Linked DNA regions of Rattus norvegicus. The protein of the gene in region 1 purifies or fractionates together with the protein of each later gene. This does not show direct contact. Links are inferred from orthologs where the notes say so. Each region holds a gene or a part of one and is shown in the gene's direction. Other genes may lie near its edges. The genes, in order: Snrpd3, Cdc5l, Snrpa, Sf3b1, Prmt5, Sf3a2 and Mepce.

Region 1 (4,189 bases):
TTTCCCCCCCTTCCCGGCCTCAGGCTTTCCACAGCTCCCCGGGAAACAGGATCACCCAACGTGCTTCAAGCAGGGCTATTCGTTTCTGAGCAAGGTTGTGCCTTTTTGCCCCTTGGACTTTTCCACTTGACCACTCTCAGAACTCCCTGGGCTTCAAACCCCGGGAGACTCAGAACAACCATAAGTTGAGGATAAGAGATGAGAAGGAATATCCACCTAGCTAGGACCCACTAGAGGCTCCAGGCTGGGCTGAGGCCGCAGACGACCCAAGGTCGCACGCTGCCAGACCCTGCTCGGCTCCAGGGCGGAGTCCCCCCCCCCCTCGGTTCCCCCTTAGAGAGGCACTGACCCGGCTCGAGCGGCTGCCCCGCTGCCTCTACCTCCGTTCTCATGACCCGGGTGGCGCAGGGCGCCCATGGCCCCGGCCTGGAGCTGATTGCCGCTGCGATTTCTGCTGGGCGGAGAGCTCGGCCAGTGAGCGTAGAGTTCCTCCGCCGCCGTCGCCGCGGCCACCGCGGTTCAGACCCGGGTAGGCGGTGGCGAGGCCGCCTCAAGCCACGCCTAATCCCTTCCAGGTCTGGGCGCTGGAAACCCGCCCCTTCCATAAGCCACACCTCTTCCCTTCTACCCACTTCTCTTCCAGACTGCGCTCCCGGCCGGTCCTTCCCTTAAACGCTCCGGCGGCCCCGCCCTTCCTTAGCCCCGCCCCTGCCCGAGCCCCCGCCCCCAGAGCCTTTCCCGGGGCGACGTTGGCTCCCCACAAACAACCTAGCACTCTCCCGCCACTAGGTCTGCTCTTTTGCAGCCTCAGTTGTAGGCTCTGGTCCTTCGCAATGCCTCGTCGAGACTCCAAAGAATCCTTTTCCTACTCCCTTTAGGTCTTCTTACTTTGACCTTGAATAAAGATAGTTCCCAGGGCTCGGTGTGTCCCTTACCTGACGGTGACCGGATCCAAAGTTTAAATTTCTAATCCAAGCCTCACTTCCTGTCTACCCAGAGCATTGGGCGCAAGCCCAGATCCTGCCCAATCCGTCACTACAGCACTCTGTAAGCGTGGGTCCCCATGTTCCTTTGTGGGCTCGAGGATTGATGTTTCCGGCGGTCCTCGGGCCCTCCACAGTGCCGGAACTATAGTGCTAGAGGCCTGGGTTCCCCAGCCGGCTAAGTGAGAGTAAAGGGTAAGTAGGCCTAAAGGAAAGGGAGGGGCCTGCGCAAGGCATTCTGGGAGCGCGTGGTGTGAGTGATACTCGGGCCCGTCGTTTCCTCGCCTCAAGCCTTCGCCTTCTAACGTTTGTGCCGGGACCGAAAAAAAAAAAAAGCCTGCAGTTAGTTGGTGAGGAGAGGCGGCTAACGGGAGAGGGGAGGCCAGGGCTCTCCAGAGGCTTAGGAGCTGAAAGGGACGCGGAGGAGGAGCTCAGCGGGGCTTAGCGGAGGGCGGGAAGCCAGGGCCTATCCAAATATCATCTCACTAATCCTAGGAACAGTTATTTATTTACGCCTAGCCAGCACGTTCTGTGCCTTTCCAGGTCACCGATTTTCGAAGCTTACAGGCAGTCCTTTCTTGCTAGTTATCTCCTTGCCTTCCGGATCTTCGTTTTCAACGTCCTTTTCATCCCTGCGCCACTCCCATTCCTGTACTGGCCTCCCCTCCTGCTTTGCACGCTGCTGCAGACGTTTCAGCAGATTGCTCTGCTATATGTTTAATCCACTTTGTAGATGCTACTAGTTTTTTTTTAAGCCCTTGCCTATAATCCTGTAGTGTTTCCCTACCATTTTCAGCACTCTCCTAAAGTTGAAAGCCGTGGTTCCTCACCATGTTTAGCATCCTTATAGTCTTCTCATGAAAATGGGCCGTGTGCTCCGTCTAGTGTCGTTTCCCGTCTCAGAAATGTAAAAGCCCTGCGCATAGTCTTTGTTTTTTTAATGAGACTTAAGTCGAGCGTTTACCCTATTTCCCTGAATGATGAGCATTTCCTGTTTATAGCATGTTGCCGTGACGCTTTTGGTCTGCTTTTTGGTGGGGAGTCAAAAAGCTAAATTGTAAAGCACAACCTGTTTTCCTGGATTTCTCTGGGTTTAGGTCTCTTTGTACTATCAGGTACTGTAGCTTTTATCCAAATGCGGTTGCTGAGTGATTGGAATATGACTAGTGTGGCTGAGGGACAGATTTTTTTTGTTTTCATTTGCATTTTGTTTACGTGTAAACAGTTATTTGGTCGGGGTCCATATCATAGTTGTTTAAATGATTATAAAGAGAGGGACATATGACTGGGTGAGAAGGGAGGTACTCGGGGTTGGGGATTTAGCTCAGTGGTAGAGCGCTTGCCTAGGAAGCGCAAGGCCCTGGGTTCGGTCCCCAGCTCCAAAAAAAAGAACCAAAAAAAAAAGAAAAAAGAAGGGAGGTACTCTGATCCCATTCATTGGCTTTCTTTGTCCAGTTTACCATCCTTCCCTACCCTACATGTTGGGCTAACTTGCCGTCGTGGGTCCTTCAAACCAAGAGCCAGACTCCTTCCACAGAAAATGCAGCCGTGACAGAATCTGCAGAGCCTGTGGAATGCCAGTCCTTAGGCTCCGAAAGGTAACCATTGTCTCTCTCACTGCCCCATAGGAAGAGTCCTGCCAAGATGTCTATCGGTGTGCCAATTAAAGTCCTGCACGAAGCGGAAGGCCACATAGTGACATGTGAGACCAACACTGGTGAAGTGTATCGGGGGAAGCTCATTGAGGCAGAGGACAACATGAACTGCCAGGTATCCTGCTTTGCACCCGGGGCTGTGAAAGAACGGTGGCTTCTATCCTGGGGGATAAAAAGGTCTTAATGAAGTTATTCTTACCAGACAGTTACTACCTGTCAGGCACTCTGACAGGCTGTGAGATCATATGTCAATGTAGACTTAGTCTTGAGACAGGAAAGTCATTTGACAGCCTGATGTGGTAGTCCATGAATGTCCCAGCAGTTGGGAGGCTGGGGTAGATTCGAGGGTTCTAGGCCAGTGTGGGCTTTACAACAAGACCACACTGCTTTTGGTGGGGAGTCAAAAGGCCGAGTTAAAAGCCCCGCCTCTCTTCTTAGTTTTCTCTGGGGTTGGGTCTATGTGTGCTTTCAGGTAGCCTTTATCCAAATGCAGTTGCCGAGTACCTGTCCGTAAAACAACCAGTTATGTTAACTTGTTCTGTCTGTCTCGGCTCCTAGAGTAGGTCAGGTTCGGAACCGGAGTCCGCTTCCCAGCACAGTTTATAGTTTGCAGAATTTTCTGCTCACATATGTGTGTGTTTACTTTTGTCTTGGAGAAAGTTCATCTGATAAAACTACCAGAGTTTTGATAAATGGTTTTGGATTTTTTTTCTCCCATTAATTAAGAACTTGAGCTTTGGAATCAGAGAATTCTCTGATTTCAAATTGAGTTGGGCCACAATTATAGGACCTGGGGTACCTTGGCCATTCGTTCTCTCCTCTATAAAATGAGAATGGAGTTGTTTTGGATCCTCTGTGCTGTAAATGCCAACCCAGAATTAAATCCACAAAAGACTTGTTGGGGAAATGGCAGAAGGATGTCAGTGACCGAGCGGGATAGCACATGTGATTGGTTACTTTTCTTGTTGCTGTGATCAAATTCCTGACCAAAGCAACTTACGGAAGGAGGAATTTATTTTGACTCACAGTGTGATGACACAGTCTGTTGCAGAGGATGGTGTGATGGCAAGAGCTTGAGGAGGCTAATAGTCGCATTGAATGTGCAATCAGGAAGCAGAGATTAGTGCCTGCGCTTAGCCCAGTTTCTACTTTTGACCTCCACCTAATCTAGATAATCCCTCACAGACGTGCCTGTCCCTTCCTTCAGTAATTCTAAATCCATTAAGTCGATAATAGTAATGATGGTAGCAGGAGAGTCTTCAATCCAGAGAAAGGAAGGCAGATTGAGCAGAAGGAGCCTCAGACTGCAGCATGATGCTGAGCAAGTTTCCCCAAGTAAGAGGAGTGACTGGAGGCAGAAGTGGACTGGCTCTCATGTTTCCTCTGTGCTCAGTCCCTGGCAGCCTGTGTGCATGGCTAACGCAGAGTGAGTGCCAGGGCAGATCCAGAGCAGCAGCTGGAGGATGTCGGCTGCACACTCTTCCCTGCCTATTGTCTCTGGAGGATGAACGTAACATCCCTAGACTGCTCCAGGTCTAGAGATGTTGGAGA
Region 2 (4,419 bases), on another chromosome or scaffold:
AGGGGCAGTCCTGAGTGGAAGAAGCCATTGCCATAAACCTTTGGAATAGCCTATGTGAAAGGGCTCTGGGAGAGGACTGGTTCAACTGTGGATTTATTTAAAGCCTTTTATGTATGCAAGTACACTGTTGCTCCGTTCAGATCCTTGGATCCAGAACATTCCCAGGTCATAGCTACTTCCATATTCCCCTTTGGATTGGAGTTAGCTTTCCATTATTTTAATCAAGAGTCCTGATAAACCCACAGTTGCAGCTGGAGAGATGGCTCAGTGGTTAAGTGCACTGACTGCTCTTCCAGAGGTCCTGAGTTCAATTCCCAGTAACCACATGGTGGCTCACAACCATCTGTAATGAGATCTGATGCCCTCTTCTGGTGTGTCTGAAGACAGTGACAGTATACTTATATAGAATAAATAAACCTTTAAAAAAAAAGTGAAGTGAGATTGTAGGTCACTAAACCCAAGTGTTTTTCATAATACTACATCACCTCCCTCCTCTCTACTGAAAGCCGTGATATTTTGGTGCAATTTCCTATTTCAAGAGAAAAATAATAACAAAAATCGAATCGGAAAATTCGTCATGTCTTCGAGAAGAGGCAAAGAGAAGCACAGACAATGGCAATGAACCACTGCAGAGCCGCTATGCATGGAATAAAATCTTTCCCTAGGGACCTGGGGTGGCACCAAGTAATTGCTCTGGAATAGTGAATAGTCTGCGTGGGAGAGAGGGAGAGGAGATAGCGGAGAGTTTGACAGGTTCCACCTCACCGAGTGTTTATGAAGTCGCAGCTGTCCTCCGATTTTATGAACAAGAGTTCGCCCTTAGTTCCACTCTTCAGATGACGCCGCCGCAGGATCCCAGGGGCAAGTCTCCCTCAACCCGCCGAGTTTGTTCCACAGAGACCCACCAGTGAGGTATGAGTGAAACCCGCGAGCGCGACACTTTGAGGGCTCCTAGGGCGCACCTTCGTGAACTCCTCGGGGGCTGAGGTGAAGTTTGCGCGGCTCTTCTAGGAAGGATAAAGAACACTTCGGGAGAGCAGTCGCGTCTCTCAGGGTACAGTTAGGACCTTGAATCTGTTCAGCATCCTCGGCACTTGGCACTGCGGGTTGTAGTTCCCAGAAGAGAACAGACTCACCCTATTGCATCTCCCTGAGGCCTCCGCGAAGTTCTTGTCGCTTAGATGCCAGCGGGGCGCTCCGTTAAATAAACTAACAAAGCTCCCATCCGATCTAGCGTGGTGCGGAACGCCACACCCCTGACTTCCCTACCCCCCTCCCCCTGTACCGCCCCCCCGTGACTTCGGGACCAATCCCTTCACGCGTTGCCGGCCAAGTTCCACCTCTGGCATCTCGCGAGAGTTTTGTTTTCCTCCAACCTGTCTGGGACCTGCGCGCGACGTCGGGCGCTTTGGCCTCTACGGTTTGATAATTTTCCGTCAGTGTTAAGGTTCCAAAATAGGCCGCGTCTTTCGCCTTCGGCCTCTAAGATCTCGCGAGATTTACCGGGGGCTGCTCACGCCGCGCCTGCGCAGATCTCATCAAAGCAGAAGGTCGCTCTTGGAGGAAGTGGCCTCTTTGCGTCCCGTGACCGAAGCGCCGTTACTACTTTCTCGAAGCTCCACTCGGCCGCTTGCCGGGACACTCCGCCGCCAAGATGCCCCGGATTATGATCAAAGGGGGCGTGTGGAGGAATACGGAGGTGAGGCAGCTTTTCCCGCCGTCCGCAGCCCTCCGCCGGGTCCGGTAGCGAGTGCGCACGCGCGGACAGCTCCGGGAGCCTTGGCTGTCCCGCGGGGGTCTGCGTGGGGGGCCGCGACTCTGCGGACCCGGGAGACCCTTGCCATGCGTGGGTGCGGATGCGGGTCACCTGGCTCAACCTCGGGAACGAGGTCACGACTTGTCGGTCGGCGCTCCCCGCCTGGCATCTGCTAGGCCCTTGAACACTTATTTGTTCAGTTAGGGACGCGCCCCCTCCTCTCCCCTGCAACCCTGTGGCGGCTCCGACGGGACCCCCGCGGAAGCCTAGTTTTTCTCCAGCTCCTTCCTTTGTCAGTTCTAGCAGAGCGAAGCGCTGTGACCGCAACTTTGTTTTTCAGTGACTTACTTAGCGGGGGCAGGCGGCGCGTTTACGTCTGCACCTCTCTGCTTATCTGGTCCCCGGGCATAGTCTGTCCGTTCTGCAGATTCCCAAGGTCCTTTCTCTTACCTTCCAGTCACGCCACCCTTGCTGGGATAGAAGCCAGTATAGGGTGGTGTTTGCTTCCAGAAATGTAGTAGATAATGTCACGGTGAGCGGAACGGGAGAAGAAAGGAAATAAAAGAAATGAAATGAACGTGTATTTAATCGGATGCGCTGAATGTAGGAGTACCTTTACGTCTCGTACCTTCTTGAGATAGCTTCTTATTGCTTGGCATCTTTCTGAGTCTCCTCCAAACTTAGCTGAGAACACTTCTTGGAGTCCTTGCCCATAAGCCGTCCCGTTGAGAGTTGGTTGTTTAGTGGGTTTGTGGCACCTATTTTTCATTCGCTACAGCTCATTTTGTTGTCGCAGGCACTTCTGTGTGGTTCTGGCGGAGTTTAACTTCTCAGAGCCTCAGTTTACTCATTTTTATAAGACACATAATAGTGTTTGAGCTCTTGAAATGAGTTGGCAGTTTGGAATATTTCAAACACAGCTGGGCACATTAGTAGGCTTTCAGTAAAGTTGAATTGCTGTTGTCCTCATCAGACAGCAGTGCAGAAGGACCAGGCTTTGGTCTGCTAGTATGAAGCAGGCTGCTTGGTGGTGTTTGGGAATGAATCTTGTAGGATAGGGACCTGCCACATGTATTTGGTTGAAGATGTGCTGAAAAACTTTACAAATGGAGGTACTAAAAAGGGTCTTGCATGCACCCAGGCTATTTAAACTTGGAAGAGGTGATTTCTGAGGAAGAAGTAGAATCACAAAAATTTAAGTTACAGCAGTGGTCAAAACCCTGCAGAGGGGTGTGTGTGTGTGTTTGAGATAGGGTCTCATGTAGCTCAGATTGGCTTTGAGCTTCTTATGTAGATGAGAGTGACTGGTAATTTGTGACCCTCCTGCCTCTACCTCTCCAGGGCTGGGATTACAGGTGTGTACTGCCATGCAAAGTCTTATGGGAATCTAACCCAGGACTTCATGTATACTAGGTGGGGACTCTACCAATTAGTAATGGGAGAGAAGATGGAGTGGAGGGGCTTAAGTATAAGGCAGGCAATGCAAGTTCATTGTGGAAAAAGCCTAAAAGTAAAGTGCTCAAGAAAGATCTACGACTTTCATGTTTGTGAGTTTGCTTGGCAGGTTGTCTGGGGATTGGGTTATGCTATGGGTACCCCGGTGAAGTAGTTTTTGGAGATTGGAGTAGATGGTGCTGACTGATGAGGTAGAGGGAAATGTGGATCCTGAGCTGTTGTGGTTAGTAGGATGATGGAGAGGAAATGTGTTGAACCAGAGTCTCAAGTTGCTTCTTTGATTCTCTTTCCTGGAGTATATAATGAGACCTGGTTCAAGGTAGATATTCAGGAAGCTTTGCTTTTTTTGTTTTTGTTTTTGTTGCAGTTGTTATTTTTGTTTTGAGTAAATATAAATATGAACTCTATCTTTGAAGAGAATGGCAGGTACATATGGGTGAATAATTTTGTCTGTCATAAAGTAGTGTTTTCAGCATTGACTTTTCCCACCTCCAGTTTGTTGAGGGGCAGGTAAGATGTCCTTTCTCTCTTTTTTTTTAAAGATATATTTTACTTTAAAAATTATGTGTCTGTGCATGAGTACAGGTGCCTTCAGTGGCTAGAGACTTTGAATCCCCTTGTAGCTGGAGTTATAGGCAGGATGCCTGATAAGGGTGCTGGGAATTGAACTCACATTTTCTGCAAAGAGCAGTACATGTTCTTAACCACTGAATAATAAAGTTTCCATGCCTTTTTTATTTTTTTAACGATCGTGTGCCTCTCTCTACAGGACCTCTGCGGGGACTAACTTAAGTTTTGTCTTTTCTCATTTAGAGGCTTGTGACTGAATGCATTCTCTTTGGTAACTCTCTAGGATGAAATTCTTAAAGCAGCGGTAATGAAATATGGGAAAAACCAGTGGTCTAGGATTGCCTCATTGCTGCATAGGAAATCGGCAAAGCAGTGCAAAGCCAGATGGTATGTATGTACCAGTCAGTCCAGGGGAAAGCAGTGTGATCCGGATCCCCACTGTGATGAGGGAGCTGGCTCTTTGACCCCCTCTATTCCCCTAAAGCATGAACTGTGATATGGAGGGAAGTATGGAAAGAGGGGCCTTTAGATGTACTTACCACTTGCTTCCTGTGTCTTGAGCAAACCATTTTTCCTCCTCTTTACCCTGCCTGTTTTCTCACAACTTAGCACTAATTGATCAGTTGTGAATCCTTGTC
Region 3 (3,271 bases), on another chromosome or scaffold:
GTCATCTTCAAGGAGGTCAGCAGTGCCACCAACGCCCTGCGTTCCATGCAGGGCTTCCCTTTCTACGACAAGCCCATGGTGAGTATCTTGAATGTGAAGTTTGCATGTTGTGTGTAGTGTAGGAGACTGGGCGGGCGTGGACTTCCTGTGGCCTGTAGTGTTCTAAGGATGCGACTTTCTCTTGCTGTTCCCCTACTTCCTGTGTTCCTTATACGGGGGCTGTGGGACCACAGAGTGATCAAGTAGCTGAGTGTGGTGGCTTGTGCCTACATGCAGGAGGCTGAGGCAGGAGAATTAATTGCCAAGAGTTTTGACTCAACCTAGACTGCAGAGTTGGAGCCTGTCTAAAATACTCCAAAAATATGATGGAATCAAAGTGAGCAAAGGATTCTGAAGACGTCCTATGACTGCAGCCTCTTGCCTGTACTGCCAAGCTCCACTGGAAGCCTTGTTTTAGCCACCACCTTTGCTTGTCCCCCTCCACACACCCAGCCTTGTCTCCACATCTGAATTCTTCTGAGAGCTCCCGTCCCTCCTTACAACACTGTCTTTCAGCTTCCTAGGAAAGCACAAAGGGTTCCCCTTGTCCTTGTGACCTCCCCTCCTCACTTCCTCTTATCCCCATGTAGCTAGGCAGGAGTGGAGCCCATCCTCCTGCCTTCGTCTCATGAGCAGCTAGGATCCCAGACCAACCTTTCTCATCCCTTAGCTTCCTGGCTGTTCCCTTGCTAGGTCCTCCTTGTGTCCACAGGGTTCTCACCCCTCCCTTTTGTGTGTCTGCTTTTCCTGACCATTGTATCTGAAAAGTTGTATCCAGGTCCCCTTCTCAGCAGGGTGGACCAGGCCAGACTGAGCTCATGTTGTAGCTTACAGTTATAGCTGCTTCCAGGCGCTTAGACTTACTAACTTTCTACAATAATTCTGTCAAGTGGAAGATATCCCCATTTTACAGATGAGGAAGTTGTCACCAAGCAATCTCTAACATTTTTTAGCAAGCTCCTTTTGATGTCTCATTTTGAACCCTAACAGTTTCCCCTGATTTCTATACCCTTGACCTTTCTGCTCTGATTGGTAGCGTATCCAGTACGCAAAGACTGACTCAGACATCATTGCCAAAATGAAGGGCACCTTTGTGGAGAGAGATCGCAAACGTGAGAAGAGGAAGCCCAAGAGTCAGGAGACACCTGCTGCCAAAAAGGCTGTTCAGGGTGGGGCAGCTGCCCCTGTGGTTGGCGCTGTCCAGCCTGTACCGGTAAGTGCAGAAAAGTGTCCCTCCCACTCCTTCAGTCACATGGCTTCATGTGGGGGTAGAGTGAGCACGTTGTCCCATTGGGTTGGGTGAGCCATATGGATGGAACAGGTCTCTCTTCCCCTGCATACACTTGATTGTTTTTGAAGGTCTGTCTGCTAGTTTTCTTCCTTGAGTTTGGTTTTGTTTTGTGTATCTTTACTTCAGTGTGTGTTTGTATGTTCATGTTTGTGCATGCTCACGCTAAGTCCATGTCTCTATAGAAAGTAAAAGTTTACCAGCCTACCATCCGTCCAGTCCCTAGTGCTGTAAGCAGAAGGAGAAATGAGGAGAGAGTTATTCTCTGTTGAGGAAAGAGATCACAGAGTAAATGCAGAGGTAAAACCGCCTTTGCTGGGTAGGAGGCAGAGCGCCTGCACATGCTCTAGGCAGACGTGTCCGTGATGCTGTCTCTGCTGGTAAAAGTGCTGGCCAAGTAAGTCCTGGGATCCCGTGGAAGGAGGAGGGAACCTTCTCAGTTGTCCAGTGCTGAAGACAGCTTCTGGAGTTCCGGCCTCCAAGACGGCCAGCCTATGGGTAGAGGGATAGCTCATAAGACATGACAGTCCAGCCTGGTAGGGAATCCTTGCACTTCTGATGCCCTGCCTAGGACGAGGTATGCCTAGTTCCCATAAGGTTCTGGGTTCAACTCCCAGCACTTGAAAGAAGGGAAATTAACCTTGTACTACGTCAGGGTTAATGTGTGCCCTTGCGAGTGGTGTCGAGACTGGGAGGTTAAGGTTATTCTGGCCTGTTTTGAGAACATTAATTCAAGCTGACTCATGGGCCCAAGTGTGACAGCTGACCCAATAGGAAACAGGGCATCATTCTGCAATGGACTCCAGAAACACTGCATAAAGGAAAGGACAGCTGAAGTGTGGAGCCTCCTTCCGTCTCCATCCGATGGTTCTTAGGCTGAGTCATTTTGTAGCTAGTGGTGGTAGATGTGTCTTTGGCTTGGCCCAGTGATCACTTCTGCTCTCAACCTTTCTTCCATCTTCGATTTATTTTCATTACTAAGTTACATTTTTGCTTATTGTCTGTGCTTATGAGTGTTTATGCCCATGCACATGAGCGGAAGTCAGAGGGCAACTTGTGGCCAATTTTCTTCTACTCTACTGGATCCTGGAGGTTGAACTCGGGGTGTCAGCTTGGAGGCTGGTGCCTGCTGAACCACCTTTTTTGTTTTTAGTTTACATTAGAGTGTTTTTAATATATGTATATTTTAATACATATAGGAGTATGTCCATGTGGGTATTTGTTTTTTTATTGCATACGTGTGTGTGCCTCGGATCCCCTGGTCTGGAATTAGTAACAGTTGTGATCTGTCCTCTGTATGCTGGTCCTCTGAAAGAAGTCAGAACTGCTGAGCCACCTCTTGTCTTTTTTTCTTCTTTTGTTTAAACATGTAATTTTTGGGCCACATGTGCTACACACCTTAAGTCCCAGCACAAGGCAGGCATGTATGTCCTTGTGGGTACAAGGCCAGTCAGGCTACGTGGTAAGAACTTTCTAAGTTTGTGACTGTTTGTGCACTTGAGTGCAGTCCCTGTGGAGGCCCAAAGAGGACACTGGATCCTCTGGAGCTGGAAACATAGGGCGCCGTGAGCTGCTGTGTAGGTGCTGGGAACCATGCTCTCTTGACCACTGAGTCATCTTCAGCCTCCCTCCAATGTCTTTACATACTTCTGGACAAAGTTGGGCCTTAGTAATTATGCCTCTTTTTTCCCCCCTTCAAAAAGCTCTCTGTGGTCTAGCATTCATCCTTGAACTTCAGCTTTTCCTTCTTGGCGGCTCAATTAGGTTTGCTTTTCATCTTTTCAAGTGTGGGTCTTTCTCTTTCTGTCTTATCTCAGTGGCTCCGTTGTGCTGTGGGCACTGTGACCTTGCCTTCCATTATCCCTGTGACATCACTGCTAATTCTTTTCTCCACAGGGCATGCCACCGATGACTCAGGCACCCCGCATCATGCACCACATGCCA
Region 4 (4,368 bases), on another chromosome or scaffold:
AGACCCTGTCTCAAAACTTGGATACACCTTAGGCTTATTTTCTCTGAGTATGAGGCCATCCTTAAATTTGTAATTTAGGTCCCAGCCCTGGGTTACATTTAGAACAATTTAAACAGCGATAGAAAGCTGCAAATCTGGTCAATAGGTCACTCCTCTTTGCCTGATCACAGCAAAGTTATTGCAAGAATTATTTTAAGTACACCCATGCTGTTCTTTTTCAACTAGCCATTACCTGGGGTCATCTTGCCCACCGGACAGAATTATTTCTCGAGAAGAGAACTGGGCTTTATTGCAAATCAGGACTTAACACTGCTTGTGACCCTATCCCCCTTGAGCTGCCTGTTAGGAAAGTGTTCTATGGTGTGGGGGCAGGCCTAATGGCTGGTCAATACTGAACAAGCATTGCCATCTTAGGCATCGTAAACTTTAACAGGTCTGGGTATCATACTGTTTTTTGGGGGGTATTTTGAGGGCAGCATTCCTTTAGCTAAATTCTACTTTGTGTAATTTAATGTCTCGTAAGCAAACCTATTAGTAATTACTACATCAATTCTATTACTTTGAGTTTCTTTTACATCAAATCCTTTTAATAATGCACACCTGAAGGAAACATTGCTTGAAAAACTATCCATATTTCTCCATGCCTCATTGTGAGGCTATGCAGCAAGCTTTTTCTAGACAGTTTCTCTTTTTCTTTAAAATAATGTGTATGTATGTAGTGTTCATAGGTCCATCAGATACCTGGACTGGACTTAGTTTGTGAGGGGCCATGTGAGTGCTGGGAATTAAATCTGGGTTCTCTGGGAGAGCAACCGTTTCTTAACCTTTGGGTCATCTCTCCAACCTGTCCTAAAGTTTCCAATGGTGCCCTTTCTGTTTTCCACTGTCCTGAATCTGGGAGTTCTTTCTTTCTTTCCCTTTTTTTTTGAGACAATGTATCTATTTTTGAGCCAGGCTTCTGGGAACCAAGGCTAAGAGCCTAGTTTATTTCCAAATTCGTTATGTAGCAGAGGTTGACCTTGAACTCTGGATCTTCCTGTCTCACCTTTTGAGGGCTGGGTTATATACTTCATCTCCGGCCCCAGCATTTAACTCCCTTAGAATAATCTGTTCTTTTTCTTTTTTCTCTCTCCTTTCCCTTCCTTTCGTTTGCTTTTTTTGAGACAGGGTTTGTCTATGTAGCCCAGTCTTCCCTGGAACTCTCTTTGTAGATCAGGCGGGTCTCGAACTGCCTTTTGTCTTCCAAGAGCTTGAATTAATGGCTCTGAGAAGACGCGTTTCACTTGGAGAGCAGCCATTCTCTTCAGCCTCGCTCGCTGTTTAAGGAAGCCGCCGGGAGCCCGCCCTGGCCCCTCCCATTCCCATCATGCACCTCGCAATTTTATTTAGGTGGCAGTTGGACTACGTGCCACGGTGCGGCGCGCGTTCTCGTGTGCGCAGGCTCAGAGTGCGGCCTGCTTCTTGTGTTGGCGGAGGCGAGCGGAAGTCCTTGGGAGCGCCAGTTCCGTCTGTGTGTTCGAGTGGACAAAATGGCGAAGATCGCCAAGACTCACGAAGGTAAGCGGCCTTTCCCTTCCCACGCGCGACCTCGGCAGCCAGCCAGATGCGTCCCTCTCTCTTGGCTTTCGGCGTCTTCGCGAGGCATCTCTGGCCTGGGCCGAGTCAGCGCGGCGGGGCCTGCTCGGCTCTTCGGCGCAGGCCGCTACCCTCGTAATGGCGTCCTCTTGCACTCCGGGGCTGGTGCTTTGTTCCGCGCTGGATGTTGGTGCTTCGGACTTCTCTTGCTCTGGCCGGAGGGCCTCGCTCGAGCGGCTTGCTCTGGAGGACTCCGGGGGAGGGAGCAAGAGGCGGACATGGGAGGGACGTCTCTCTCGCTCCCTGGGCGCTGTCGTTGGCAGTTTGCACCTGGAAAGCCCTGAATGACGGCAGCCGCTTTCGGGCCGCTCTTAACGGAGTCCGTTTCAGCGGAGGCCTGTTACTTCAAACCTCCGTTGTATAGGTATCTCCAGGCGGCTGGGTTATGTTGTGGTGGTGCTTGCACGAAATGATTCCGGCATAAAATCTGGTAGTTTACTCCTTAAATCACTTTCAGCGTAGTGTTTCTCTTTTTCTTTGAGAGCTAAATGTTGGAGAACCAGGAGTAAGAAAGAAGGAAGGAAGGGCAGATTTGACCAGTTGCCAAAGTTTTCAGGGTAGTCGGTCATTTTATGCCCCACAAGAGTAAAACAGCTTGAAACATGTTGAAAAGCTACCGGATTCCATAAAGAAGGAACCAGAGAAGACGGGAAGGAATTGAGTGTGAGAGATTGAATCTCTCTTTCTTGGCTTCCGGTTTAGAAGCCAAAATTTACGCTGACAACATGGCTACTAAGTCACTAAACAAGTCCTTTCTAAGTGTGTGTCTTGGTGTTAGAGAGAGGTAACAAGCTAAGGATGTTAGAAATTTGACAGTTTGATGTGGAAAACAAACGTGAGTCTTTATTCTCTTAGAAAAGGAATGTGTACAGAGAAGTAAAGCCAATACTTTCTGAGAAGCTGGGTAACGGAGCCATTAATTTATGCATAGTTATTTTTGGGAGGTGGTGACGTGGTGCTGATAAAAAAGGATCAATCAGTTTTAAATTAGAGGAGGATGTCTGAGCCCGAGGGAACATCTTGTAAGAACACTCGTGACTCGTAAGTGACTCGTTGTTGTGGTGGACTAGGGTGTAAGGAGGGAATTCCGATACGATTCTAGAGAGATGGTTTAGGACCAAAAGGTGATTGTTGGGACATTGGAGGAACTGAAAGTATCAACACTTTTGAAAGCCAGAAATGTTAACGCCTTAGTCTTTTGTTTTTAAACTGAAAGTACAACACATGTTTTTGTTTTCTTTTTTTCTTTTCTGAGATTACATAGTGATCCCTGTTGCCCTGAAACTTCCTATGTAGACAAGAATAGGCCCTAGTCTACAAGGTTAAAAGGCCCGAGTGTGCTATGTCTGGCTAGTCCAAGACTTTTTTTTTTTTTTTTTTATTAACTTGAGTATTTCTTATTTACATTTCGAGTGTTATTCCCTTTCCCGGTTTCCGGGCAAACATCCCCCTAACCCCTCCCCCTCCCCTTCTTTATGTTTTTTTTTTTTTTTTTTTTTTTTCCTGGAGCTGGGGACCGAACCCAAGGTCTTGCGCTTGCTAAGCGCTCTACCACTGAGCTAAATCCCCAACCCCGGTTTTTTTTTTTTTTTTAAATTGCAATCTCTCTCTCTCTTTCTTTAAAGAATGATTTATTTCATGTATGTGCGAACACTGTCGCTAGGTTATTTCATTCTGGGGAACCAGTGAGTTTTTTGGGCTTACAGAGCCTGGTATGAGGGGAAGTGTTTACTGACAGAAGCATGGTTTACTGCATGCTGGCATCTCCATAGCTGCATAGGTAGAGTTTCATGCCCTGATAGGTTATTTATTTATGGATATTTTGTAGCTTTGATTGTTGGCTTATTGATATCTTCAATGTAACATACTCCCTGTTAGAAAATGTAAAGTTTATTTTATGTGCAGTAGTGTTTTTCCTACATATATGTCTGTGAGGGTGTCAGATTCCCTGGAAGTGGAGTAAAAGACAGTTGGAAGCTTCCACATGGGTGCTGGGAACTGAACCCAGGTCCTCTGGAAGAGCAGCCACTGCTCTTAGCTGCAGAGCCATTTTTCTAGCGCTGGTAAATGTAAAGTTTAGGGATGAATTTATTTATTTTCTTTCTTTCTTTCTTTCTTTCTTTCTTTCTTTCTTTCTTTCTTTCTTTCTTTCTTTCTTTCTTGTTTTTTTCATTGTAGAAGTCCAGCAAACTTGTTGGTCAGTTGTAGGTCATTGGCAGAAATTGCTAATTAGGATTATTTTATCGTTGAATTAATTAGTATTGTACAAGTGCTGTTTGAATGCAGGGTGCTGTATGTCACTATTAGGTATAAGTCAGATGCTAACACCACCCCCCCACCCCCCAAAGACAGGGTTTCCCTGTATAGACCTGGCTGGACCTAGCTGACCTGGAATTCTGTACACGGGGCTGGGCCTTGAACACAGATTAATCTGTGTTTCTTAAGTACTGGGATTAAAATTCTCGCATCACCACCGCCCATCTCATAACTTTTTAGTAGAACTGTATATAGCATTTTCATGGCCTCTTGCTCTCTTAATGACGTTTTCCTGGAGAATATAGTGTTTTACAACTGTCATTTAAGTCACTGTAACATGGAGCAAAATTCGTTTTCCTGAGGGGTGTGGCCCTCAGTATAAGTCTTCATTGTCTTAGTCTTTTTGTTTTTTTTTTTTTGTTGGTAGGTTTGTTTGTTTTGTGGCTTTGCCTTGGAATTTGCTCTGTATATCAGGCT
Region 5 (4,293 bases), on another chromosome or scaffold:
TACTGCACAAGGTCCTAGAGCAGCAAAAGGAGGGGAGGTGGTAGTGGTGGAGGTGGCAGGGTACAAATGCACCCTCAACACCCTCACGGGACGTTTTCTTAGTTCTCTGGTTTCCTGACTTTCACATGACCCAGGACTCCATGTCCTTTCTGTATTGCTAAGAGCACTGTCCTCCAGAACCCCTAATCTCACTAGTCATGTCCAAATATTGCCTGGTTCAGGTCTCTCTAGACGACCAGTTCAGCCTATCCAGTCCCCAAATACGATTCTCCCTGACCTCTACCCACTGCAGGGACAAAACGATGAACGTCGTCATTGTTGTCATTATTATTATTATCATTATCATTAATTATTTTCTCCTGGCTCCTTGTTAGTTAGTCCCTGAATTCTGTCAATGTCTCCTGTCGTGGATATCGTGATTAGTTTTTGTTTTGCTTTTGTTTTTGCTTTTTTAAGTCAGTGTAATACAAGGCGAATTATTTGGGAAGAGGGAACTTCAGCTGAGAAAAGAACTCCGTCAGATTGGCTGGAGGGCCCTCAGTATCTATGGGCTTGTTGTCTTCAGGGATGTGTTTCCCTTTTCCCTTCCTAGGTCTTTCCTTGCCTCTGTAATTTCCTTTTGCTCGTGCGAGCAGCTGTTAAGAGTGGGAAATGCAGGTTCATGGTTCCTGGGCACTGTAATTTCTGGTGAATTTCTTTTCTCTGAGGTGTGTGCGCACGCGAAGATATTTACTTACATTCGTGTTTGGGACAGAATCAGTAGGAATTAGTGGGTGATTTACTACAGTCTATTTTTTAAGTGTAGCAAAACAATGAGACAAAACTCATTTTAATAGTCCAGTCACCAAAATTTTCATACTCAGAATAACTTGATTATATACAAAACAGCTTTGAAGAGAGGAATGAGAAAGGCCAGCATTAGATGGGTGCAAAATCGAACCAAGACCTGAAAACCACAGCGTGAAAGAAATAGCAGAGGATATAAAAGAAAGACGTTTTGAAGTAGCAACATTGGGAGATGATTAGATTAGCAAGGGATGCAAATAAAGGAGTACCAGTCCCAACGAGCCAGCCAGGAGTCGAACCTGGAATCTTCTGATCCGTAGTCAGACGCGTTATCCATTGCGCCACTGGCCCGCAGACATTACAGGCCGGCCCAATAATGATACTTCAGACTTATCCCGCAGGGCTGCATGGGACCTGTAGTCTCACTAGAGCGCTACAGATGGACTGGGCATTCTGGGAGATTGCAGAGCGTCAGCAACGAGAGCCTGTCATTGGTAGAGCAAGGGTGCCACGCCCATGTCACTGTGCGGTCTGCGGATTGGTGGGAGCAGCGACTTGGTCCCTCCACCTCCGCTTTGGGGCTGTAAAGACGCTCTGGTTGTTAAGGCGACTTGTCCCGCCTCCCCGGGACTGTTCTCCGCTTTGTGATTGGCCTCTAATAGCAAGGAATCCCGGCGTGGGCTGCGCGAGGGAAAAGATGGCGGCGATGGCAGTCGGAGGTGCTGGTGGCAGCCGCGTGTCCAGCGGGAGGGACCTGAATTGCGTCCCTGAAATAGCTGACACACTGGGTGCTGTGGCCAAGCAGGGGTGAGGGCCGGATTTCCTCCAGAGGAGTGCGGGATCCAAATTTGGGGAACAAGGAGGGCAGACTAGTACCTCGCAGGGGATGAGGGATTGAGACACCATTACTCCTTGAGTGGGGAAGACTTCGGCCCCAAGAACGAGAGGTTGAAACTCTGGGGGGCGTGTGGTCACGGAGTTCAAAAGTCAGGGGAGTTACAGGGCAGATTTAAAAAGGGATGTACAGTAGGCCTTGGAGACGGATTATTTGAGAGTAGAGAGAAGTATAAGGAGGCGAGCGAGAGAAGAGGTTAATCTGGCTTGAGGAGGCATGGGCAGTGTTGGGACAGGTCTAAATTTGACAGTCCTGGAAAGCCAGTGAAGTCAGGGAAGAAAGAAATCTACTTGACTTCTATGTCCATTTCTTGCTCATCGGTTCATGATTGTGTTTTGGGAAGAAATTGATGCACAGTGTTGTGAAAGTGATGTGTCCCAAGATGGGCTGAACTCAATAGCCCGTGGGGTGACTGATGATGGCTTTATGGAACTGTGCAAAATCAAGATATTAATATCCCAGTTGCTTGGATCTCTGGGCCCTTACTTTACATGATGATTCTGGGTCTGTCACGGTTGTAGGTTTGATTTCCTCTGCATGCCTGTCTTCCACCCGCGTTTCAAGAGGGAGTTCATTCAGGAACCTGCTAAGAATCGGCCTGGCCCCCAGACACGATCAGACCTACTGCTGTCAGGAAGGGGTAGGGACCTTACCCTGTGCCCCTTAATTATTAGAGGCAGTAATATCTTCTGCTTTATAGGACTTAATTTTCCTCCTCTGATTTGGTTATATATTGGCTAGCCCCTATGACATAAATAACAACTTTTTTTCCCCTTTCTTTCTAAAAGTTGCAGTCCCCCCATTCTTCATCAGGCTATCCCTCTATCAGAGAGAAAAAAGTCTTGCTTTTCACCTCTTTACTCTCTGCTGAGAACTAGAAGTTGAGCAAGAAAATGCCAAACCCCATTGAATCTTTGTCTTTTCTTGGGTGGGGGAGTGCAGACTGGAATACGCTAATTGTGGGAAAGCTTTCTCCATGGATTCATCCAGACTCAAAAGTGGAGAAGATCCGAAGGAACTCTGAGGCGGTAAGGCAGTTTAATTTCTCTGTGGGATCCCTTTAAAAGTTAGGCCTGACCTGGGTATTGTGGCACCTATCTGCAATCTCAAGCATCTGGGAGGCTATTCCCACATCTGGAAGATAATGAGGGAGGACTGAGAATTCCATGCGGGGAAAAGAAAAGGACATAAAGTAATTCTGTCACTAAACTAGGTTAGGAGAGTAACCTGGTAAATCATAGTACAGTTAAGTGTCTGAAGAAATGTGTGATGGCTTACATCTATAATCTCAACAGAGGTACATCTCCAACTCAGCGAATCGCTGAATTCCAGACCCTGTTTCAAAAGAGGAAACGTTTGGCTCTGGTGGAGTATGGCAGCTTACAGCCGTAATCCTAGCATTCTGGAGAGTGAGTGAGGACTCCTTCAGATTCCAAGTCAAGCTGACTTATGGAGAAAATTCCAGAACAGCCTGGGCCACAGTGTCAGAGCCAGTTTCTACTCTACCTTACCCCAGAAGTATTTGGTTCTTAGCTCTTAATGGTTTTCTTTCATCCTATGTTTCAGGCTATGTTGCAGGAGCTGAATTTTGGGGCATATCTAGGTCTTCCAGCTTTCCTATTGCCCCTTAATCAGGAAGATAACACAAATCTGGCCAGAGTTCTGACCAACCACATCCACACTGGCCACCATTCTTCCATGGTATGACTGAGGGTTCTTTCCTACTGTGTATCACGCTAGCTGTACCTTTTGCCCAGTTATGCTCCCCCCGCCCCCCGCCACGTGCATTTGGCAGAATTGAAATGTCAGTACTGTTCTTCCCCCACCCCGTCTAAAAGCGGTGTGCAGAGAGTTTCAGAACATAGCTTATGGGGCTAGAGATGTGGCTCAGTGGTAGATCACTTGCCTAGCACACAGGAGCCTCTGGGTTTGAGTCTTAGTACTATAAAACTAAAGATAGAGAAAATACTTAATTATTTCTATTTAAAGTAAAAGACAAGCTAAGTCTTTGTATAAGGATATGTATGAGATCAAACACGTGTAATCACATTTAGAAAAGCATATAGGGCTGGAGAGATGGCTCAGTGGTTAAGAGCACTGACTGCTCTTCCAGAGGTCCTGAGTTCAAATCCCAGCAACCACATGGTGGCTCACAACCATCTGTAATGAAATCTGATGCCCTCTTCTGGTGTCTGAAGACAGCTACAGTGTACTTCTATATAATAAATATAATAAATAAATCTTTAGAAAAGCATATAAAGAGATTAACTTCTGGACCCACTGAGTTCGAAACAGCGCTTTAACAGGGTACCTGTTCATATTTAGTTCTGGATGAGGGTCCCCTTGGTGGCCCCAGAGGACCTGAGAGATGATGTAATTGAGAATGCACCAACTGCACACACAGAGGAGTACAGTGGAGAGGAGAAGACGTGGTTGTGGTATGTCTCTCTTGCTGCTTTACCTGCACAGGGCGGGGTGAGGACTATGGGGAACGGATTTCGAGTGTTCCTTGAGTTATAAGCCATATGCATTTGACAGGGTCTTTCTTTGTTTCTGATTCTGGGCAGGTGGCATAACTTCCGGACTCTGTGTGACTATAGTAAGAGGATTGC
Region 6 (4,391 bases), on another chromosome or scaffold:
GGTAGGAGCCTGCTGACAAGCCTAATGACCAGTGTTTTATGTTGGAGGCCTACACAGTGGAAGATGAAATCCAACTACACAAGTTTTCCGCTGGCCTTTCTGGCATACTCACACCCAGAAACCCATGCGTGCACATGTACAAGAAGCAGAAAATAGGGGTACAGATGGAGAACCCCACTGGATGACAGAGGTAGACACGATGGACAAATCTCTACAAGGTACGCAGCAGAAAGACCTCTCCAGAGGTGAAGGCTGAGACAGGTGTCCTTCAAGGCCTCAAAGCCCTGCCCGCACACTCACTCCCACGGCAGAGACTGCTTCAGTTATACACACCAAGTTCACAGACTGCACCTCTCTCGGCCGTAAACCGGCAGAGGATCGGGGAAGAAACTAAGATGAGAACCTGACCCAGTGGTCACTCTGAGTGACAGCTGGGACAGTCATGGGCCACCAGCGGACGCGAGATCCAGGACAAATGGAGATTCCTAAGGGAGTAAAAAGGATCGCGTGCGCGGAGCAGAGTCCGGGGTGGAAAGTGGGGAACAGAACACTTACTGATGGAGAAGCCTCCCGGCTCTTCCTGGGCCACTCTGCAGCGCTCCAGCAACAGGGCTCCGAGGGGCTGCGCGAGACACGGCCATGAGCACCGGCCTCTGGGCCGCGCGGGTCCCCCGCGCCCCCCACACCCCTACCTCGGCCTCGTCCGGGCGGAAGTAAAAGAGGAAGTTGACCACCAGCTTCACCAGCCGCCTCTTGGCCACTGCAGGCAGAGGGCGGTGTCAGCGCGCAACTGCTGTCATCCGCCCACCGGGGAACCCCGCGGCCCGCCCAAGTGTCCCAGCCCCGGCCCGGACCAGCTCACCGCTGCCCTTCTTGGGGCCCCGCATGCCCAGCTCGGCCGCCATCTCTGCCGGCTGCCGGGACAGCGCTTGCAACTCTTTCTCGTTGTACCGCATCTCGCCGCCCGGATCCGCGCGAACCAAAACGCGCCCTGCCTCTCGGCCGCCGTCCTGCCCGAAGCCGCTACTAGCGCCACAAAAGTCTCAGGAAGCGACCTCGTAAGTCCCAACGGTGCTACTGCGCCTGCGCGTTGTTGGGCGTGTTGCGTGACGCTAGTTGGTGGGTCAGCACAGTAGAACAAGGAGTCGGACGGGAAGGAAATCGCCCGTCCTTAAATAACCGTCAGACACACTGAACGTGGGGTGTAAATTTAGACTCATAGCACCTCACGATACGCGAAGCTCGTTCCCGGGCCTGTGAACCCTGAGGTTTAAGTCCTGTCGCGATAGTCAGCGCCAACAGAGTTAGGGCGGAGCAAGAATTCGTAGACAATGCAGTGCGCACGCGTACTCCGTGTCCCGGCGCTCTTTTTTTTTTCTCCCGCCTCCCGTAGGGGGAGTCCATTCGCTGGGCATGCGCACACATGAAACTCCGCCTTCCTTGCCCCCGGAAGTGATTGCTCAAGCGGTCGTGCGCATGCGCACAACAAAATCGCGGCATTCGGGGAGGTTAAGCCCAGTTACCGAGGCCTTGGTGTTGGTAAGGAACTACGCGGTTTGTCGGTGGCGGCTGCCCCGTCTGTGGGTCTTGAAAGTAGGAGCGAGAGCGTGGGGCCTGGCGGGGCAGCGGCCGCCCTTTCCCCTTAGGCGTGGCGCACCCTCGCCCTAAGAGCGCGGTCTCGCGAGGTCCTTTGAGTCGTGGCGTGATCGCGGACTTTTGTGGCGGTTCCGTGGCCTCTAGGGTGGTTCGGGTTCTTGGAATGTCATTTAACCTGCTTGTTTGCCTCAGTTTCCCTCGCCGTTAGTCAGGGCCATGGCGACTACTGCTCCTGTCCACTGTAGTAGGTCTGTTGCTCGGATTAAAAGATAACGGTATATGCATTTAAAAGTGATTTGCGGGGTTGGGGATTTAGCTCAGTGGTAGAGCGCTTGCCTAGCAAGCGCAAGGCCCTGAGTTCGGTCCCCAGCTCCGAAAAATAGAAAAAAGAAAAAAAAAGTGATTTGCCTTTAGACCAGGCAGGCCTTCTCCCAGACCGTGACCTTAACATATACTACTCTTCTGTTTCTATTGATCGTTCATCGGTAATCTTAGAGTAGTCCGTGAGGTCGCACGGCTCCCAACCATTCATCCTGGTCTCTTGTCCCAGGCTTCACTTGTGAGTCCATCCAGTCATCGGCACAATTTTACTTTATTTCAGACAGCGTCTCACGGCATAACTGAGGCTGACCTGGAACCCTGTGTGGACTAGGCCGATTTCGAGCTCACATACACTCCCATACCTCTGCCTCCCGCATACTGAGATTTACAGCGTGTGCCACTACACTTGACTGTTTTGTTTTAAGGAAGGTTTATTTTGACTGATAGTATGAAGGTGCAGTCCACTATGGTGGTCGTGTTACAGCCATAGTCAGGAAGCAGATAAAAGCTGGTATTGGAATCCCTTTCCCGTGTTTTTAAAGATTTTTTTTCCAAATGTGTGTCCATGTGGAGCTTCATGTGTGAGTATGATAACGTCAAGTCCAGGAGAGACTGTCAGGTTCCCTGGAGCTGGAGTTTCTGGTGGTTGTGATCTGCCACTAAGTCATCTTGCCAGCCTACCCAGCACCCTTTTGTCTTTTATTTGAGACAGATCTCACTGCACAGCCCAGTTTGGTCTCAAATTATACCCATCATCTTTCTACCTTGGCCTCTAAGGGAGCTGGAAGGAAATGTATACACTGCCATGCCCCATGTTTTCTGTTTCCTGAGGTTGGGAACTGTTGGTGGGCTGAGGCGGTAGTTCATTGGTGAGCGTTTGCAAAACTTTGTGCTCCATCCACTGGGCCAAGCAGTATGCTCACCCAGGCCAGTTTTATTCTGCTTTCCTTCCAAAGCTGATGAACTACATTTCTGCAGTGGATATCCATGCACTCAACCTCAAGCATGCCCCCCCAGGGGACCCAGTGCATGCTGGACAAGTGTTCTCCTTGAGTGGCACCGTCAAGTCTGTGGATGGACACCCAGCCTCCCTGGGGAGGCCAGCCACAGAGTCCTATGTTCTCAAGAGTTGTCTTTGCCTGAGCCTGGAGTGGTTTTCCATCCTGCTGCTGCTGCTTGTGGGTGCCCCTAACTCTGAGAAGCCAATTGATTCTCCCACCGTTTGGCTGTACTCTCGTGTCTGGCCAGCTTCATCTCTGGGAGTGTGTCTGTTGGTAGCTCTGGATGATGTAGACGATGCCCTTCTCAGTCTTTGGCTGAGTACAAAACATCTAATAGGCTGCTCCTGTCCCGCCACTTCAGTGTACACCTCTCAAGCCGTCCCTCTCAGCACCTAGAGCATCCTGTATCCTTTGCCTTCTGGCCTCTTCCTCCTTGACAGCCAGTGCTGTCAGTGGCCTGTCAGCCTTGAGCACACTCTAGTGACATTGTAGTAACTGGGTACCTGCCCTCAAGGTTCTTGGTCACATTTGTAGAGCCCCTTGTGCTATGGGAGGCACCAGTGATGATGACAAGAGCTGTCTCTACTTGTCTCCTGGTCGCTGGCCCTGGGTTTACTGTAGGTTTACCAGTAGACTGAGTAGTCTTAAGTGTTCTGCCTCAGGTAACACTGTCTGGAGGCTTTGGCTGAGCCTCCAAGGTGAGACCCTTGGTATCGAGCATTCCTTGTGTCAGGCAGAGGAGGGTGTGTCCTCTAATGCCAGCAGAGGTAGGCAGAGGCCAGCCTAATGTGTGAGGAGAGTTCTAAGATAGCCATGACTACGTAGAGACTCCTCCCTCAATAATAACAACAACAATAATAGTAATCATATGTTACATCAGGGAGAGGCGGCTCAATGGTAGTCACAGCACTTGGGAGGATCAGGAGGTCAGAGAAGGGATGGCTTGCATGCTGGGCCATCCCGCGGTCCTAGCATCATCAGCAGGGTTCTAAGCCTTAGTCTTCCTTGCTCCCCAGGTTTCTCCTGTCCCCTAAAGTACCCAGGCCTGCATCATGGACTTTCAGCACCGACCTGGAGGCAAAACTGGGAGTGGGGGCGTGGCCTCCTCCTCAGAGAGCAACCGGGATCGAAGAGAGCGCCTGCGGCAACTGGCCCTGGAAACCATCGACATCAATAAGGTGGGGGAGGGAGAGTCTCCAGGCCTGCAGAGCCCTCACCTTGCCCACCTTGGTCCTTGGGTCCCGGGGCCAGGCTGTGCGGTCTCACGGTACATTTCTTCACTCCCAGGACCCGTATTTCATGAAGAACCACCTGGGATCCTATGAGTGCAAACTCTGCTTGACTCTGCATAACAATGAGGTACCTGCCCACCAGACTTCCACCATTCTGCACTGGCCTGGTGACACTGGTCGGCCTTGGACCTGTCACCTGGAGCCAACCACTCCCTTAGTATTGCTCTGGTTTCCTTGAATT
Region 7 (4,192 bases), on another chromosome or scaffold:
AAGGCGCGAAGACACGGACAAATCCCGCCCCCAAGCGGCGTGCGCTCACAGACGTAGTGCGCATGCGCCGAGGGAAGCCGCTTTTGCGTCTGAGCAGCTGGAGTAGCTCGCCATCTTCCGAGTGAAAGCCTAGTGAAACTACAAGTCCCATAATCCACGCCGGCGCCTTTATTCCCCCCCCCCCCCATAAGCTGCAGCGGAGCACCTGAGGCACTTCGTTCTTGTCTCTGCCTAAAATCTCCTTCTCCTTCCTGTTTCCATGTTATGACCCCTATCTTTTAGTTTCCGTCACGCTCTTATATTTTGAGACCATCTTGGGCCCCCCTCTTGCTTCTTTTCTGATAGTCTGCTGACAGGGAAACTCCGCCAGCCATCAGTCTAGGGACTCGGCATGGAATCAGTGCTTCCCATTGGCCGAAGCAGAAGGCCCAAAACAGGTCGATACCCGTTCCCGCCCACATTCGCTTGTGTGTCTAGTGGAGCAAAGCTGCAGCGATAATGCTGTAAAATCCACAACGCGAAAGGTGGCATTGACGATAACAACAACGCCACCCTTCGCGCTGGGGACTGATGCGCAGGCGCCGCACTGTAGCGGAGGCGTCCGAGGCCTGACGTAGGTGAAGGGAGGAGAGGAAGGCGTGGTTCTCTAGATGTTCCTCGCTGGTGGAAGGGAGGTCGCCTGAACGACCAGGCCGTTTCAGGGGAAGAGGAATTTGTACAGCCTCGATGTTTTAGTGCTTGCTTGTTTTCAATTCGAAGAATATTTTAAACAATGTATTGCATTTAATTGACAACAGTTCTTGAGACAGTGTGCTCGACTCCTTCGCCTACTTTATCATTCCCCCCTCAGGTTCTCCTAAATCCTTCTAATTCTAATGAGATGGGCGGGAAGAAGGAGGGGAAGGACTAGATTGCTCATGAATAATTCATGAGCTTGCCCCTTTCCTGGGAATGCACAACCCTTGGAAACGTGCTGACGCACGCTGCGTGCATCTAACCTAAGGAAACGACGTCATACTCCCCGCCCCTAGGACGGAGGGGGCGGAGCATCATCTCCAGCACGTGTTGCCCCTTCAACCCGCGCAAGCCCAAAAGGACGGTGCGCAGGCGCTCTCTAGGAGGGGCGGGGATGGGGGAGGAAGGAGGCGGGGCAGGGAGGTTGTTGGGTTTAGAGCCGGGCGGAGACCGCGGAGCCTCATTCCTCAGGAACAAGGGTCGGGTGTCAAGGAGACCTTTTCACACCAGCTCCCGTTCCCCGCCTACGGTGGGTGGGATCTCACAGCAGAGACAAAGGATATCAGTAGGGCTTGGACTTAGCAGCGAAGGGAAGTCGGGTGTCCGTGTGGGGCGGTGGGCGTCTCGGGCTGGGGGAGGGTGAGGCTATTAGGGAGGGGGGGCTGTATTTAAACTCTCAGAGCCGTTAAGTTGGTTCGCACTCCCGATGCGCGCGCAGCCTGGGTGGTGGCGGAGCGCGCATGCGTGGGTCCTGGGCGAGCGGAACGCGCGCCCGTCGTGCGCGCTCGCGGCAGAGTGGTAGAGGCGGCGGAGAAAAGGGTGTCAGCGCACGCGCAGTTGGTTCCTCGGCTTGTCCGGGTCTCGCGGGCATCTTGTTTTGGTCTCGCGGGCGAGTGGAGCGCGCTTGGTGTGTTGCGGGAGGGAGGTGGAGGCGCTTGGGCGCGAGGCAGAGCTGCGCGCGCACTCGGGGAAGGAGGGAGTGAGGTGGTCTTAGGAAGGGTTACAGGGGGGCTTCCCCTTGATCTCTTCTCAGTACCCTCGCTTGGGAAGGGGAAATTAAACAGGGAGAGGAGATGATCGAGATGGCGGCGGAGAAGGAGCCCTTTCTGGTGCCAGCCCCACCGCCGCCGCTCAAAGATGAGTCGGGTGGAGGGGGCGGCCCCGAGGTGCGATCGCACCAAGAGGCTGCCTCCGGGGAGCTCCTCGACGGGACAGAACGCGGGCCGGGCCCACGCGCGCACTCGGCCGGGGCCACAGCCAGCGGAGGGGGCGGCCCCCAGGCACAGACGCATGGGGAGCCCCACGGGCGAGCTGCCGCTCCTGCGGACGTGGGGGAGGAGCGCCGGGGAGGGGGCGGGACGGACCTGGGTCCCCCAGCCCCTCCTCGACCTCGCAATGGCTACCAGCCCCACCGACCCCCAGTGGGTGGTGGGGGCAAAAGAAGAAATAGCTGTAACGTGGGGGGAGGGAGCGGTGGAAGCTTCAAACATCCGGCCTTCAAGAGGCGCCGGCGAGTGAATTCGGACTGCGACTCCGTGTTACCATCCAATTTCCTTCTGGGGGGTAATATATTTGATCCACTGAACCTGAATAGCCTCCTGGATGAGGAAGTGAGTCGCGCACTCAATGCGGAGACCCCAAAGTCATCCCCACTTCCGGCCAAGGGGAGAGACCCTGTGGAGATCCTCATCCCAAAAGATATCACTGACCCACTCAGTCTCAACACGTGCACTGATGAAGCCCATGTAGTGCTTGCTTCACCACTCAAGATTGGTCGCAAGCGCCATAGACACCGGGGACCGCACCACCAGCAGCAGCAGGCATCTGGAGGGAATGATAGCCAAGCTGTGCTGCCCACTGACCCTCTCACACCCTCAGTCCATGGGGAGGGTGCTACGCAGCAGCACAGAGGCCAGAACCGAGATGACCCTCAACCCTATGAACTCAACACAGCCATCAACTGCAGGGATGAAGTTGTGTCTCCCCTTCCGTCTGCCCTGCAGGGTTCCTCAGGCTCCCTTTCTGCCCCTCCAGCTGCCTCAGTTACCTCTGCACCCTCTTCCTCCTCCTCCCGACATCGCAAACGTCGCAGGACTTCCAGCAAGTCAGAGGCAGGGGCTAGGGGTGGAAGCCAGGGTTCCAAGGAAAAGGGCAGAGGGAGTGGGGGAGGCCGTCACCACCACCCACTACCTGCAACTGGCTTCAAAAAGCAACAGCTCAAGTTCCAGTATGGGAATTACTGCAAGTACTATGGCTATCGCAATCCTTCCTGTGAGGACATGCGCCTTAGGGTATTGAAGCCTGAGTGGTTTCAAGGCCGGGACGTCCTAGATCTGGGCTGCAACGTTGGCCATCTGACCCTAAGTATTGCCTGCAAGTGGGGCCCAGCCCGCATGGTGGGGCTGGACATTGATCCACGACTTATCCACTCTGCCCGCCAAAATATCCGACACTACCTGTCCGAGGAGCTTCGTCTCCAAGCTCAGACTTCTGAGGGGGACCCAGGGACAGAGGGGGAGGAAGGGACTACCACTGTCCGAAAAAGGAGCTGCTTCCCAGCCTCACTGACAGCCAGCCGGGGTCCCATCGCTGCACCCCATTTGCCCTTGGATGGAGCGGACACATCTGTCTTCCCCAACAATGTCGTCTTCGTCACGGTAAGAGTCCAGAGGCTCTTGGAATAGGGTCCCAATGTGAAGATGAGATTAAGTAGGGATGTGTTGGGGGGGATGGCCATATCCATGCATCTGTTCCTTCATACAAGAACCATCTCCCGGAGAGAACAGTCTGGATTGGCCAGAGAATCTCTGCTGGGTGTGTTATCTCTGCTCCTATAACGTGGAAAGTGGGATCTCTACCTTCAGGCTCTAACATCTGGTCTTTTCTCATGACTACAAACAAGGATCTCATCCCTAACATAGGGGGCTGACTTGTTCTGCTTCCAACTGGGACTAAAATCCAAACAATCCGCTTCCCTTGAGGGTAACCTCTCCTGTTGAGTCCAGATGGAACCTTGTCCTCAAATCTCCTGAGGGAGCCTGAAGTTGGGTGTCTGGGGGAGGGGAAACACTCCAATATGTGTAGTTTGGGACTTTGATAGGGACTTTATTTGCCTTTTTTCCCCAGATGCAGCACAGACTGCTGAAATTACTGGTCAGGAACTCATGGGCTTGTCTTCCCATGCTGACTGAACAATGAGAAGGGGCAGTGAAGGCAGGGCTCTACATGGAGCGAGTGCCCAGCCTGACATCATGCTAGTTCCCTCCATTACACAGTTGTTAGGCCATCCAGGGGAACTTTTGCCAGTGGCTTGGCCTGGGAAATGTCTCCCCAGGAATGGTGATGAGTTTACCTTCTTTAAAAAGAGATTTCTTAAGGTTATTTCCTTAGAGAAAGAACAGACCTGAAACACAGCTTAAGAGTCTCTGTCTTTAAAACAGTGCATGGCCTTTGTATG

The links.
Region 2: the proteins of Snrpd3 (region 1) and Cdc5l purify together in Homo sapiens (affinity purification with mass spectrometry; 3 studies listed by BioGRID and IntAct, with this or other methods). This does not show direct contact. The link is inferred for Rattus norvegicus from reciprocal best matches to the Homo sapiens genes SNRPD3 and CDC5L.
Region 3: the proteins of Snrpd3 (region 1) and Snrpa purify together in Homo sapiens (affinity purification with mass spectrometry; 3 studies listed by BioGRID and IntAct, with this or other methods). This does not show direct contact. The link is inferred for Rattus norvegicus from reciprocal best matches to the Homo sapiens genes SNRPD3 and SNRPA.
Region 4: the proteins of Snrpd3 (region 1) and Sf3b1 fractionate together in Homo sapiens (co-fractionation; 4 studies listed by BioGRID and IntAct, with this or other methods). This does not show direct contact. The link is inferred for Rattus norvegicus from reciprocal best matches to the Homo sapiens genes SNRPD3 and SF3B1.
Region 5: the proteins of Snrpd3 (region 1) and Prmt5 purify together in Homo sapiens (affinity purification with mass spectrometry; 3 studies listed by BioGRID and IntAct, with this or other methods). This does not show direct contact. The link is inferred for Rattus norvegicus from reciprocal best matches to the Homo sapiens genes SNRPD3 and PRMT5.
Region 6: the proteins of Snrpd3 (region 1) and Sf3a2 purify together in Homo sapiens (affinity purification with mass spectrometry; 4 studies listed by BioGRID and IntAct, with this or other methods). This does not show direct contact. The link is inferred for Rattus norvegicus from reciprocal best matches to the Homo sapiens genes SNRPD3 and SF3A2.
Region 7: the proteins of Snrpd3 (region 1) and Mepce purify together in Homo sapiens (affinity purification with mass spectrometry; 3 studies listed by BioGRID and IntAct, with this or other methods). This does not show direct contact. The link is inferred for Rattus norvegicus from reciprocal best matches to the Homo sapiens genes SNRPD3 and MEPCE.

What each region holds. Positions count from the first base shown.
Region 1 is NC_086038.1:13,141,950-13,146,138, reverse strand, and holds the start of Snrpd3 (small nuclear ribonucleoprotein Sm D3), read left to right. Parts: upstream 1-1,218; 5' UTR 1,219-1,333; intron 1,334-2,611; 5' UTR 2,612-2,627; coding exon 2,628-2,753; intron 2,754-4,189. Other genes in the region: protein GUCD1, read right to left, coding at 350-605. UniProt on the Homo sapiens protein: Plays a role in pre-mRNA splicing as a core component of the spliceosomal U1, U2, U4 and U5 small nuclear ribonucleoproteins (snRNPs), the building blocks of the spliceosome.
Region 2 is NC_086027.1:23,060,848-23,065,266, forward strand, and holds the start of Cdc5l (cell division cycle 5-like protein), read left to right. Parts: upstream 1-1,549; 5' UTR 1,550-1,654; coding exon 1,655-1,699; intron 1,700-4,064; coding exon 4,065-4,168; intron 4,169-4,419.
Region 3 is NC_086019.1:91,611,853-91,615,123, reverse strand, and holds part of Snrpa (U1 small nuclear ribonucleoprotein A), read left to right. Parts: coding exon 1-78; intron 79-1,075; coding exon 1,076-1,252; intron 1,253-3,223; coding exon 3,224-3,271. UniProt on the Homo sapiens protein: Component of the spliceosomal U1 snRNP, which is essential for recognition of the pre-mRNA 5' splice-site and the subsequent assembly of the spliceosome. U1 snRNP is the first snRNP to interact with pre-mRNA.
Region 4 is NC_086027.1:64,023,752-64,028,119, reverse strand, and holds the start of Sf3b1 (splicing factor 3B subunit 1), read left to right. Parts: upstream 1-1,400; 5' UTR 1,401-1,529; coding exon 1,530-1,557; intron 1,558-4,368. UniProt on the Homo sapiens protein: Component of the 17S U2 SnRNP complex of the spliceosome, a large ribonucleoprotein complex that removes introns from transcribed pre-mRNAs.
Region 5 is NC_086033.1:31,945,489-31,949,781, reverse strand, and holds the start of Prmt5 (protein arginine N-methyltransferase 5), read left to right. Parts: upstream 1-1,469; 5' UTR 1,470-1,483; coding exon 1,484-1,593; intron 1,594-2,202; coding exon 2,203-2,321; intron 2,322-2,623; coding exon 2,624-2,709; intron 2,710-3,247; coding exon 3,248-3,382; intron 3,383-4,006; coding exon 4,007-4,119; intron 4,120-4,248; coding exon 4,249-4,293. UniProt on the Homo sapiens protein: Arginine methyltransferase that can both catalyze the formation of omega-N monomethylarginine (MMA) and symmetrical dimethylarginine (sDMA), with a preference for the formation of MMA.
Region 6 is NC_086025.1:9,563,309-9,567,699, reverse strand, and holds the start of Sf3a2 (splicing factor 3A subunit 2), read left to right. Parts: upstream 1-1,500; 5' UTR 1,501-1,539; intron 1,540-3,934; 5' UTR 3,935-3,970; coding exon 3,971-4,096; intron 4,097-4,205; coding exon 4,206-4,277; intron 4,278-4,391. Other genes in the region: Plekhj1 (pleckstrin homology domain-containing family J member 1), read right to left, coding at 556-622, 863-1,112, 1,226-1,404. UniProt on the Homo sapiens protein: Component of the 17S U2 SnRNP complex of the spliceosome, a large ribonucleoprotein complex that removes introns from transcribed pre-mRNAs.
Region 7 is NC_086030.1:24,547,379-24,551,570, forward strand, and holds the start of Mepce (7SK snRNA methylphosphate capping enzyme), read left to right. Parts: upstream 1-1,217; 5' UTR 1,218-1,808; coding exon 1,809-3,392; intron 3,393-4,192. UniProt on the Homo sapiens protein: S-adenosyl-L-methionine-dependent methyltransferase that adds a methylphosphate cap at the 5'-end of 7SK snRNA (7SK RNA), leading to stabilize it.